3 linked regions of the Canis lupus familiaris genome follow. The protein of the gene in region 3 binds, or shares a complex with, the protein of the main gene of each other region. Links are inferred from orthologs where the notes say so. Each region holds a gene or a part of one and is shown on either strand. Other genes may lie near its edges. The genes, in order: CPEB1, SMAD2 and PIN1.

The links.
Region 1: the proteins of PIN1 (region 3) and CPEB1 are in contact, whole or in part, in an NMR structure (PDB 2N1O), measured with the Homo sapiens proteins. The link is inferred for Canis lupus familiaris from reciprocal best matches to the Homo sapiens genes PIN1 and CPEB1. Residues at the interface, in NP_006212.1 of Homo sapiens: Arg17, Tyr23, Ser32, Gln33, Trp34, Glu35; in NP_001352172.1 of Homo sapiens: Arg206, Ile207, Ser208, Pro209, Pro210, Leu211, Pro212, Phe213.
Region 2: the proteins of PIN1 (region 3) and SMAD2 are in contact, whole or in part, in an NMR structure (PDB 2LB3), measured with the Homo sapiens proteins. The link is inferred for Canis lupus familiaris from reciprocal best matches to the Homo sapiens genes PIN1 and SMAD2. Residues at the interface, in NP_006212.1 of Homo sapiens: Glu12, Arg14, Met15, Ser16, Arg17, Ser18, Tyr23, Phe25, Trp34; in NP_001003652.1 of Homo sapiens: Pro218, Glu219, Thr220, Pro221, Pro222, Gly224.

The regions. Positions count from the first base shown.
Region 1 is NC_049224.1:54,906,365-54,909,876, forward strand, and holds part of CPEB1 (cytoplasmic polyadenylation element-binding protein 1), read right to left. Parts: intron 1,458-3,512; coding exon 1,205-1,457; intron 1-1,204.
Region 2 is NC_049228.1:43,687,447-43,691,445, forward strand, and holds the start of SMAD2 (mothers against decapentaplegic homolog 2), read left to right. Parts: upstream 1-1,190; 5' UTR 1,191-1,288; intron 1,289-1,674; exon of another isoform or gene 1,675-1,758; intron 1,759-3,999. UniProt on the Homo sapiens protein: Receptor-regulated SMAD (R-SMAD) that is an intracellular signal transducer and transcriptional modulator activated by TGF-beta (transforming growth factor) and activin type 1 receptor kinases.
Region 3 is NC_049241.1:51,560,369-51,564,654, reverse strand, and holds the start of PIN1 (peptidyl-prolyl cis-trans isomerase NIMA-interacting 1), read left to right. Parts: upstream 1-1,483; 5' UTR 1,484-1,631; coding exon 1,632-1,689; intron 1,690-3,692; coding exon 3,693-3,905; intron 3,906-4,286. UniProt on the Homo sapiens protein: Peptidyl-prolyl cis/trans isomerase (PPIase) that binds to and isomerizes specific phosphorylated Ser/Thr-Pro (pSer/Thr-Pro) motifs.

The sequences.
Region 1 (3,512 bases), on a different chromosome or scaffold from region 3:
GTTCCACCTACTCAGAGCCATGTCCCATCACTGCCGGTGTCTCACAGCACCTGAACGGACACTGGGCCTTCCTTGATGCCAACACTGTAAGATAATGGATATTCCCCCACCTACCCCACTTCCAATTTATACCAAATCCGAGCTTGTCTAAACTCACAGTGAAGTTTCTCTGACTTAAACACCTTGTTAAGAAACCACTCTTGCTCTACAGAGTAGAAACTATCTTCTGTTTGGTCTATTATAAAACCTAGAGGCCTCTCCGTTCTTGGCAACCAGTTTGGCCTTTGACCTGTCTCAATTTATGCCTTTCCAGACCAGAGACTAAGCTCAGTGGGGACTGGCTCGTTCTTGCCCATTTTAGTACTTCAGCACTGGGGCAGGGCGCCAAAAAACCATCACTTCCATCCAGGACAATGACATGGAAGCTCATTCCTTAAAAGGCACAGATCCAGGGTGCTGCTACGCCAAGAACTTGGGTACCATCAGCAATATTTTGCAAACAAAAACATAAATCAATATAACGGCCCCATCCAAAAGCAAGGTAATGTCATTTCACAGGCAAACAGTGGCACTAATACAATCATGGGCTGCCAAAACCTTTAAGTGAACAGGGCAGCAGAACTATCAGGGGAGAATGAGATCAGGTCCAGTTTTGTGATGGGACAAATGTACTGAAGCCTACAAAAAACAAATGGATAGAGAAACTGAACATTCACTTAGTTATCAACTCCAGAACCTCAGAAGAGCAGTCGGTGAGTATCTCCTGGAAGCCTTGGTAAACTGATTGATACCAAACAGAAAGCCTCAGGGAAAATAGCTCCAGCATAGGTTATATATCTCACAGGTTTCTGAATTAGAAAGGGGAAAGGTGGAATTCTGGGCATCACTTCCAGGGTATCTCCTGAAGATGCCCACCCGTGAAAAGAATCAAAAGCTACACTGGTACACAGCCAACCTCCATGAAAGACCACAAGGAAGAGATGCCTCCAACCCCATACGGGCACAGCGTCTTTCCTCTCTGTTCAGCCTCAGAGAAATTCCTGAGTTTGTCCCATTAGTACTTACCCCACAAAACAGACCAGAGACTTCACCACACAACTAAGTCCCTCTTCTGGACAGTTCACCAGTCTAGGAACTAAGGTCACATACTCCCTGTGCCCAGAACAAGGCCTCAGGCCCCACGCATGGCCACATCCACACTCACCTGCAGCTTGCCGGTACAGCCTGGCCTCTCTTTCTATGCTGAACGGGTCTTTGGGAGCTTCGAGGAGATCCCAGGATGGCCACACAGAAGCTCCTGGCCATCTCTTGGATGCACTGGTTGGGGAGGGGCTGACCGCAGCGAGAGCAGCTTGCTCTTGGTCCATCCGGGACCCAACCCCCATCTTTAAAGGGTCTCTGGGACCACCCCCCGTCAGAGACAGGAAGGGGAGTGGAGGGGAAATTCGAAGGCTTGACTAGGGAAGCAAAAAGGAAGATACAGGTTTTTAAAGGACAGTTTTGTTATAAAATCAATAATCATACTCTATATAGAAATTATACCAGTTAGGTCTGATATTTTCTTTTAGGCTTTCTTCTTATTCATTTTTGATTAGTTGTTCTATGCTATAATTTAAACAAATACTTTTCTCCCCAATTCATTTTTTTTCATATTCCCAGGCAGTCTTCATAATCATTTTTAATTAATTTATGATAATCTATTTAGGGAACATGCTACATTTCGCTAACCTACTCCCCTACTGTTAAACATTTAGACACGTTCCAAGTTTTCAGGATTATAAATACAAACTTTAAGGTATAACTTCTTGCTTTATATGTATGGTGGGTTTTTTTCTAGGTTCAATTCCTAGATATAAAATGCCAACATGCTTTCTATGAGGTTCTGCTTTCTATCAGAAATGTATGAGAGTGTGGGTTTTATTATAAGCTTATGTCAAAGTACTAAATTTTACTTAAGTAGATAAAAATGATACATTATCAAAAAAAGACCCCACAAACTAATTACTCAGAATATTTCCTGTAAATTCAAATACCGCCTCTTTTTTCCTTTTTTGAAAATTTTAAAAAAGATTTTTACTTAACTATTCATGAGAGATAGAGAGAGAGAGACAGAGAGACATAGGCAGAGGGAGAAGCAGGATCCCTGCAGGGAGCCCAATGTGGGACTCGATGCCAGGATCCAGGGATCATGTCCTTAGCCAAAGGCAGACACTCAACCACTGAACCACCCAGGTGCCCTTATTTCTCTCCATCTGTTAGCTGTCTGCTCATATCCCTTCACCAATTAACCCTTGGGAGTATGGTATCTGAGAAAATTCTTTAAACAAAATCCCAGAATATCAAATTTAGTTATGAGGTAAATTTTCAAGACAGAGTTCCATCTGAATTATTATTATTATTATTATTTTTAAATATTTTATTTATTTATTCATACGAGACAGAGAGAGAGAGAGAGAAAGGCAGAGACATAGGCAGAGGGAGAAGCAGGTTCCATGCAGGGAGCCCGATGTGGGACTTGATCCCGGGACTCCAGGATCATGCTCTGGGCTGAAGGCAGATGCTCAACCACTGAGCCACCCAGGCATGCCCCCATCTGAATTAACATAAGCAGAACCCCAAGCATCCAACCCTATTTTATAGGGGAGTAAACTACAGTCCAGAGAATCAAAAGGACCTGCTTGTTATTACCCATCTGGAAACATAGCCTAACAGATAAAACCAACAAGCAGTGGGAACACCTAGCTTTCATATTCTAGGACAGGCTGACAGGAGACAGACAGACCCTAAAAGTTCACGCTCTGGATAGTAAACTAACCACATCCAAAGGTACCAGTCCTGGATATAGAAGAGAAAAGGGCAAGAAAAGCCATCCTATTCACTGAATGGTCACCGGACAGGGGTTTGGCAGGGGAGAAAGGCTCAGAAGGCACCTGAAATTGTATTTTATTTTATGATAATTTCTCATAGTCATTCCCATGTATTTACTTCCACAGTCTCCTATATCCCTCATCTATTCTCATCCATTTGCTAATCCTACTTTAGCACATGTGCCTCACCTGTCACACATGGCTGTGGATAAAGAGCATGTGCTATATAAATTAACTCTGAGGCACCAGTTCATACATTCATCATGGCCTCAAACTGACAGGTGGCATGGGTAGGTAAAGAGGATAAAGGAGCTACAGTCAGCCTGACTGGGTTTAAAATTCTGGCTCTGATAATTACTAATGCATGATTTTTAAAATCTTCCCTTAGAAATTTTGAGATAACACATGTAAAGGTACATAAATGGTTACTGTTTCAAGGCTAAAGAAAATCACCAAGCAGGCCAAGAAACAGAACAATGCAAGAACTCCCATATTAACTTTTGAAATTAACTTTCTCAAAGCTCTTGAAGTAACTTGTAAAAAGAGACTCTGCTGCTTGGGTCCTGAAATGTATGGCTTGAGGAGTGTATAAGGCACCCTCTATTCCGTAGAGAATAAGTTCCATACACGTTCGCAGTGGTCTCC
Region 2 (3,999 bases), on a different chromosome or scaffold from region 3:
CTGTAGTCCTACGGTGCTCGCCGCCAAACATAGTAGATGCTTAGTAAGTAAATACTTGAACGTGATTAGTCGGGGTCCATGCTTCCGGCCGAGGCTTGGTGTCTGCAGGGTCAAAGCGACAAGGTTACGGCAGTGCGGATGCCCAGCCGCCCCCCCGGCTTTGGGCGGCCTGGACGGCCTGGGCGGCCGGCAGCTTAGGGCCTCCGGGTCGGGGCCTGCGAACACCGCCTGGACGCCGGAGAAACGAGGAGGAAGGGAGGGCCAGAGAGCGGTGAGGAGCATCGTGTTAGGCTCCTAGCGTCTAGACCTGGCGAGGGCCTCTCGGAGCATGCGGCAGTCGCACCACCTTCCGCGAAGGCGGAACCACGTCCCGGCTCTTCAGAAACACCTGGCATCCCCCCGCCCGCCGCGGGGGCCCGGAGAAGAGCCCCGCCAGCGCCGGTTTGCGGCTCGGCCCCCGCCCCGTTCGGCTGCACGAGGGCCCCGCCCACTCACTCGGCGCGGTCGGCCCGGCCCCGGCTCGGCGCGTCCTCGAGGCGGCCCTCGGGCCTCCCCCGGGACGAGCACGTGTCCGCTCGCGGCGGGGTCCGGGCGGTGGGCTCGGCGGCGGCCCACGGGCCCCACCCAATGGCGCGGGCAGGACGGCGGGGCGGGGCCGGGCCGGGGCCGGCAGCGCGGCAGGTCCCGCGCCTTCCCGCCGCGGAGCCGCCCGCGGCAGCGCGCCCCAGACGTCGCCAGCCGAGGCCGCGGGCGTGCCACCCCGCCTCGGCCCCGGCCGCCCGCCCGCCCGCCCGGCGGCCGCGCCTCGCCTCACGCTCTACGGGGGAGGCGGGACCAATCAGCGAGCGACGTCTCCCTTCCGATTCGAGGCCCCCGACGCGCGGCTCACACCCCGAGCACCGCGCGCGCTCATTGGCTGCGCGCGCCGCCGGTCCGGCCGGGAGGGCGGGGCGGCCGAAGGGAGCGGAGGTGGGGAGGTAGTGGCCCGCGAGTCTCCGAGCCCCGCTCGCGCCCCGGCCCTTCCCGGGCGCTCGGCCTCCCTCCTTCCCTCCTCCGCTCGCCCCGTCTTCCGTGCGCGCCGGGCGCTGCGCTCGGCCGGCGTGCCTCGCGCCCTAACGGGCGGCCGGGGGCGCCAATCAGCGGGCGGCAGGGTGCCAGCCCCGGGGCTGCGCCGGCGAATCGGCGGGGCTCGCGGCCCGGGGTGGGAGGCGGGTCTACCGCGCGGCCGCGGCGGCGGCGGAGCAGCTCCCAGCCAGCAGCCAGCGAGCGCCGAGCCAGCCGCCCGAAGGTGGGTGCGCCGCGCCGCGCCGCTGCGGCCGGCGGCGGAGGGCGCAGGGCGGAAGCGGAGGTGGGCCGGCGGGCGCGGCGGGGGAGGGCTCGGCCGTCCGGGCGGCCCGGGGCGGGGGGCGGGGGATGCGGGCGGGCTCGCGCCCGAGGGGAGGAGGGGCGGCGGCGCGGCGCGGCGGCGGCGGCGGCGGCGGCGGCGGCGGCGGCGGGACGCGCGTCCCCACCCCCTCCCTCCCGCGGGCGGTGGCCGAGCCCGCGTCCCCTCCCCGCGCGCGGGGCCGCGGGCCGGGCACTGGCTGGGGGGCGGGGCGGGCCGGGCCGGGCCGGGCGGCCGCGGGAGTGTTTTCAGTTCCGCCTCCAGTCGCCCCTTCCCCTCTCCCCTCCCAGCCCCTCATCCCATTCGGAAGAGGAAGGAACAAAAGGTCCCGGACCCCCGGCTCTGACGGGGCGGGACCCGGAGCCCCGGTGCAGGTAAAGCGGCGGCGCCCGGCGGGCCCTCGGGGTAGGGGTGTGTTTGCGTCGGGCTCGGGTCTCGGCGAGGCTCGGCGCGTCGCACGGCCCTGGGGGCCGGGGTGTGGCGGGGTCGGGGCCGGGGGCGCGGGGGGGCGCGGGGGGGCGCGGGGCCTGGGTCGGCGCCGGAGCTGCCCGGCCGTGGCCCGTCTCCCCTGCCGCGAACACGCTTCGTACTTTGTGGTTCTGATTTTCAAAGCCGGAGGGACCGAGCTCTTCTTGTTTCGGGAGTTGTTGGCAAGCCCTGGTAGGAGCGTGCGATACTTCGCTTCCACTTTTTTTTTTTTTTTTTTTGGTCCTGTAACCTTTGTTAACCATTCTAAACCCGGGGTTCGGAACTGCTCGCGTGTACTCTGCACAAGCAGGCACACGGCTGATCCTCCGTGGAGATCCTGCACTCACTTGTGAAAGTTGCCCTGGGAGTGGAGCCTGTTGGTTTTTATCACACGCCTTTTAGAAAGCACGCTAATTGATTTCACGTATTTCAAACTTGGTTTACACATTTGCAACCTTAATGGTTTTGTTCTCTCTTGGGGGATACTGTCCTTGGGGTTGGGTACTTTTGCCTTTTACTTACTTAACCTTTCTGTGGTTATGGTTTCCTTTTGATCCTAAACAAAAGAAAAAACAATACCTAGGTTGGTTTTGGTGTTCCTTCCTCTTGACCCCTTAAAAGCTAAATACTACCGGCTGGTTGTTCATTAAACCATTATTTTAAAAACCATCTCCGGGTGGAACGATTCTGGAAGTAGCATTTTCCGTGAAAACCGTGTCTTGTTTGTTACACTTTTAAGTGTCCTCAATTTTGCTGTCTTGAACTTCTAAAGTAACACATGTAAAGTAACTATTAATGAATAAATAAATGGTCACTGCAGACCTGCTTGGAGTTATTCCATTTTTCGAAAGTGCCCCCCCCCCCAAAATCTGAGTTAATTTACAGAATTTTTAATGATTCTGCAGTCTTAGTTCCTTTCCATTTTCCTTCTGAATTTTGTGTGAATTGAACCTGTACCACTGATTGTAAGGAAGTTTTTCCTTGAGCAGAATAAGAAAACAAATTTGCTACCACTCTGAAAATACATTTGCTATTGTTCTACTTTTGATTTTGACTCCCTTTAAAAAGTTTTTCTTAGGTAGAAGTGTAAGTTAAATAGTTAAATGAAGTTTGAGGAGTTTTAATGTAAATAAAGAGATAAGGGAAGCAAATGTAACAGTTGGGAGAGATAACGTGAAACGGATTTCATAAATGTGTCCTAGTTTGAAGATTTTATTTTTTCATTTGCTTTGAAAAAAACCATACAGGATATTGGTGGAATTTTTCTGAATCAGACGGTCATTTACCAAACATTTACATTAAATTTAGAAAGTAACGCTGACTTTATTTTTAAGGTTCCTTAGTTTTTGCCATAAAACTAGTTACGGTAGTAAATAAGAATATTTTGAGTCCAGGTGCTCACTTAGTTCTCTTAAAGTTGAGTTTAAGGTAGTTCAGTGGCCAGTTTTTATAAATGTGATAGGAAACATCCATTTCTGGGCTTGTTTAGTAAGAAATCGCTCTTTGGGCTTCGCTTTTGTACTTTGTAGCTATGCCTTCTATAGTGCTTTCACATTGTAGGTGTTCAGCAAGAGTTAGGTTTTCGTGGCTGTAACTTCTTACCTGTGCCTAGGCATAAGTGATCAAATCTCTACACAGTCTGTAAGGTTCATGTAATAATAGTCTTGTAAGAAACCATGCAGGGTAATTTCCTGTTGTTTGTGGCTTGTCAGGCCCGGTATGTGTTTTAACTAAGTAGGGATTTGGGGATGGTTTTGTGTATTTCAGCAGTCCTTTCTCTTTAATAGGAACAAAGCTGGTTTCTACTTCAAGATGGCAAAAGGTCCCCTTTTCATTTTCCTACTGTAAATATTAGAATCATATTGCCATAATCTTGTTACTTCACGTTGGGGGGAGATATGTGAGTGAAAAACAGTTGAGCTGCATCATCCACTGATCAAAGACCCATTTTTATATTTAGCAAATATTTTCAGTTTGGGCTTTTATAAATGTCTGAAAGCTCCCCTTATTCTTGTTTGGTTTTTATTCTGTTGGTTTTGTGCTTTAGGGCTCCAAAGGCCTTGTTTTGTAGCAGCTTTTTATACAGGTGTTTTTGTAATGCATATAAAAGCTGTATTTAGTGCAGTCTGGCAGATGGGGGCTTATTC
Region 3 (4,286 bases):
TATTTGAATGAATCCAGAAATTTTGGTATATAGTTTTTACACAATTAAGATAATTATACATATTCTGCAGCTTCCTTTTTGTTTTTTTTAATGCTTTGATATCTTTCTATAACTAATTATTTTCAATTAATGTTTGTTGATTTGTTATGCTTTCATACATACTATAATTGCTACACTGTACAGTGACTAGCTTTTCTTTTCACTCATCAAACATATTTTTGCTATGAGGCAGACGCTGTTTGGAGAGCATTCTACAGATTAACTCAATTTTTGCATCAAAGGTATGTATGAGATATATATATTTCTTATTCTCATTTGCAGATGGAGAAGCTGAAAAGCTGAAACACAGAGATTAGTTTCTTCAAAGTCATAGCCAGGCTTTGAACACAAGCGATCTGGCTCTTGAATGCTCTTAACCTACTATATCCTATTTCTTGTAGACATGTTTTCCCATGTTTTATATGACTGTGCCTCATTTTTTTTTTTTTAAGATTTTATTTATTCACGAGAGACACACACAGAGAGAGGCAGAGACAGGAAGAGGGAGAAGCAGGCTCCATGCATGGAGCCCGATGTGGTACTCGATTCCGGGACTCCAGGATCACGCCCTGAGCTGAAGGCAGGTGCTACGCCACTGAGCCACCCAGGGATCCCCGCCTCATTCTTTTTCAATGGTCACATAGGGGTCTAGTTCTAGATGAACTATCATTGAACTCTTCCTTGTTGGTGTCTTTGCCTCTCGTATCTATCTCCAGCCTGTCCCCAGGCACCTCCCCAGAGTCCCACAGGTGCCGCAGACTCAATTTTAAGACGATTCAAACTGAGCTCATCATCCTCCTACAGACGCATCCTCCTGTGTCGCCAGCTAAGTGGCCATGCCAACACCCACCAGTCACCCAGGACAGAGGCAGGAGCCAGACCGAGAGAATAAGTTAAGTAGGTTCCAAAGGAAGTAGAAGATGTTTGGTCAGTGGCACAGGGAAAGGGTTAGTCTCGCAAAAGAAAAAAAAAAAGTGGGGGGACAGCTTTGGACATCTGGAGGAAACAGGTGGGGAGAAGGAGGATGGAGGAGCCAAATTTAGGCTTCTTCGCTGCTCATCACCAAGGCAACTGCGTTGCTACGGCAACAGCTAAGGCAGCACCGCCTCTTTCAAGTACCTCGTGGGCTGCCGTCACCTCGAAACCACCCGGACACTTCCGCATAAGGGGGCGCGGGCCTCCGGGAACGGCTGAGGAAGGCGGGAACTACTGCCGCAGTAGCCAATCGGATGGGGCCTGCGGCGAAGGACGCAAAGGAGGTGCCCGGACTTCTGTGAAGCTCGCCGGAGGCTGTGGAGAAGGACGGGCTCCAGCCCCTTCCCTACCAGTCAGCGGCCGAGGGAGGAAGGGGGCGGGATCCGGGGGAGGCCGTACGGGGGCGGGACCCGGTAGAACGCACGGAGGGTCCGCCCAGTCTCGCCGCTACCCAATAGAAAGCCCGAAGGCCTCTCCGGACTGCTCGGGCGCCCAATGAGCATCGTCGCCGGGCCCCGGGGCGAGGCGGGCCGAGCCAATCGGCGGCGGCGGTGGGCGGGTGCGGGCGGCATAGGCGGTGCGGCGGAGGCGGAGCGGGCGCTGCGGCAGGAGGGAAGATGGCGGACGAGGAGAAGCTGCCGCCCGGCTGGGAGAAGCGCATGAGCCGCAGCTCAGGTGCCGCGGGGGTCGGGGCTGGGGCGGGGCCGCGCGGGCCCGCGGAAGCAGGGCTCGAGCTCGCCCCTGGGGCGCGGCGCCGCCGCCCGATTCCCGTGGGGTCTTGGCTCCTCCGCGTCTTCCCAGGGTAACGGCCCGGGCCCGCCCCGTGGGGGCTGCGAACCTCAGGAGCGGGGATGCCGGAGGAAACTGAGGCAAGGGGCGGGGCCGGAGAGACCCAGCGCGCTGCCGGGGGTGGGGGGGGCGGGGGCGGGGGGCCGGGGATCCCGCAGCACTCCCCCAGGTGATGGCCCTGGCCCTGCCGATCCGGCTGACACCTTTTGGCCTATTGCACCCGACGTCCCCGGGGACCGTGTCTGCACCCTGCTGGGCCCGGGGGGCACCCCGGGGAAGGACACCCCAACCCCACGCTCAGGGCGTGGCCTCAGAGCGTTGCCGGGCCTCGGGCCCACAACCTGCCCCTGCTAACCCGCCGGCCATCCCCGCCTAACCCGAGTCTGTCGTCGCCGCCCGGTGGATGGACCCTGTGCCGGGAGCCCGATCTGAGGCTTATCCACAGTAATAATACCCGTAACCGCACGCTCATCTTACCGCCCAGCCCTGTGCCAAGTGTGTTTGGAGTGTGTTCTCCCTCTCTCTCTCTGAATGACCACAACTCTGGGAGGTGGATAGTTATCACCCCGTTTTGCAGGTGAGGAAGCAGAAGTCAGAAAACTTAAGGAGCTCCCCCAAGGTCATTCATTTCAGGGGGTGGGGGCTGGATTAGAGTCCGGTCAGTCTGACAGCAGAGCCCGCCTGCCCTTGTCACTGCAGACCAGTGAGGAGCAGGCCCAGCATCTCACCGCACTGCCTCCCCAGCCCATAAAAATCACAGTCACAGTGATATCTGCTCATTGAAGGCCAGGCCCTCTGGTGAGCACTTTGCACGGATCATCACTGTTCTCCACATTAGCCCCGTGAAGTTATGTCCTTAATCTCTCGCTTCACCCCCACTTTTCAGATGAGAAAACCAAGGTTCATGGAGAGAGAGGCCATTGCAAGGTTTTAGGGTCGGTCACTGGCTCAGCTCTCACTGAGCCCGCTCCAGCCCTGCTCCGTGGCCACAGCTGACAGCATGAATCCTGATGCTCTGCCCTGTTCTGGGCCCCCTCTCTGGCCATTTCTGCTCGGCTCCACCCTAATGGTCTTCCTCAGGGGTGACCTTCAGTTCTTCACGGTGCTGGGTGCCAGTCGTGCAAAAATCTCAGCCCCTGGAATGATGCCTGGGCTCTCCTGGGTTCTACCTCAATCTTCTCTCTTGTGGCCTTCCCTCCTTCCTGCTCCTTGGGCCCTGGGTAACGTTTGACCCCCCTGTACTGCTGGTCCATAGTTGTGCAGCGCTGTACACTGGGTGCGGGTTAAGAACAGAGCTTTCATGTTTGGCAACCTGGGTTTAATTCCTGCCTCCAGCCATGTGTGCCTGGGGCCAAGTGTACACTCAGGAAACATTCCAAAGGTGTGGAAGGTGAGGCCTCACTTCTGTCGTCTACAGGGAGATGATAGCTGTCACGCTCCTAATGTGTACTGGGCACTAGTCTAAGTGTGTTACCGCTGTGAGCTCACTCAGTCCTTAGCACAACCCTACAGGCAGGGACTGTTGTTATCTGCATTTTACAGGTGACAAAATCAAGGCCCAGAGAGGTTAGCTCACACAGTGAGTGACAGCCAGACTTGAACAGGCAGCCTGGCTGCCTGTCCCCACACCGGCTTCGTCTCTCCTGTCACTCTGGGTGGTTTTCCTCCTTGAAGTCACTAATAACTGAAGTTATGACATTGTCTTATTTGCTTGTCTGGGGCCTGCCCATCCCCATCTAGAATGCTGGCTCCCTCGGGGCCTGTAGCTCGAGGTGGACTCAGGGGATTTGTTGAATGAAGGAATCCCATTGGCCGGTCCGTCATCTTGGCCTCCGGGTGGTGTCCTTTGAGCAGGTCCCAGCTGAATTCCTGTATCCCCCCTCCTCCAGGCCGGGTATACTACTTCAATCACATTACTAATGCCAGCCAGTGGGAGCGGCCGAGTGGCAACAGCAGCAGTGGCAGCAAAAATGGACAAGGGGAGCCCACCAGGGTCCGCTGCTCGCACCTGCTTGTCAAGCACAGCCAGTCCCGGCGGCCCTCATCCTGGCGACAGGAGAAGATCACCAGGACCAAGGAGGAGGCCCTGGAGCTGATTAATGGTGAGCAGAGTTGGAAGCAGGTTGGAGTGGGGGGAATGTGGGGAGAGGTTGTCCCCTCATTGGGAGCTGGAGCCAGCCTCGTAGAAATCACACCAGGCCCTGCACCCCAGCTAACTCAGCTGTCAGCATTGGCTGCCACCGAACTGCCTGTACGTGACGTGAGCCTGGACTGCACAGCTGCCTCTCCTTTTTCTTTCTATTTGGCATTTGAGGGTGAGCCAGGTTACGAGAGGAGGACCCAGCCTTGGGGGCTGGCAGCCCTGGGTTCAGATGGTGGCTATGCCCTGTAAGCTCCAGGGGGAGCTTGTGTCATCTTGAGACTCAGTTTTCCCCTCTGTAAAATGGGTGTTGTCACATACCTGCCCATACCTGGTGTGTAGG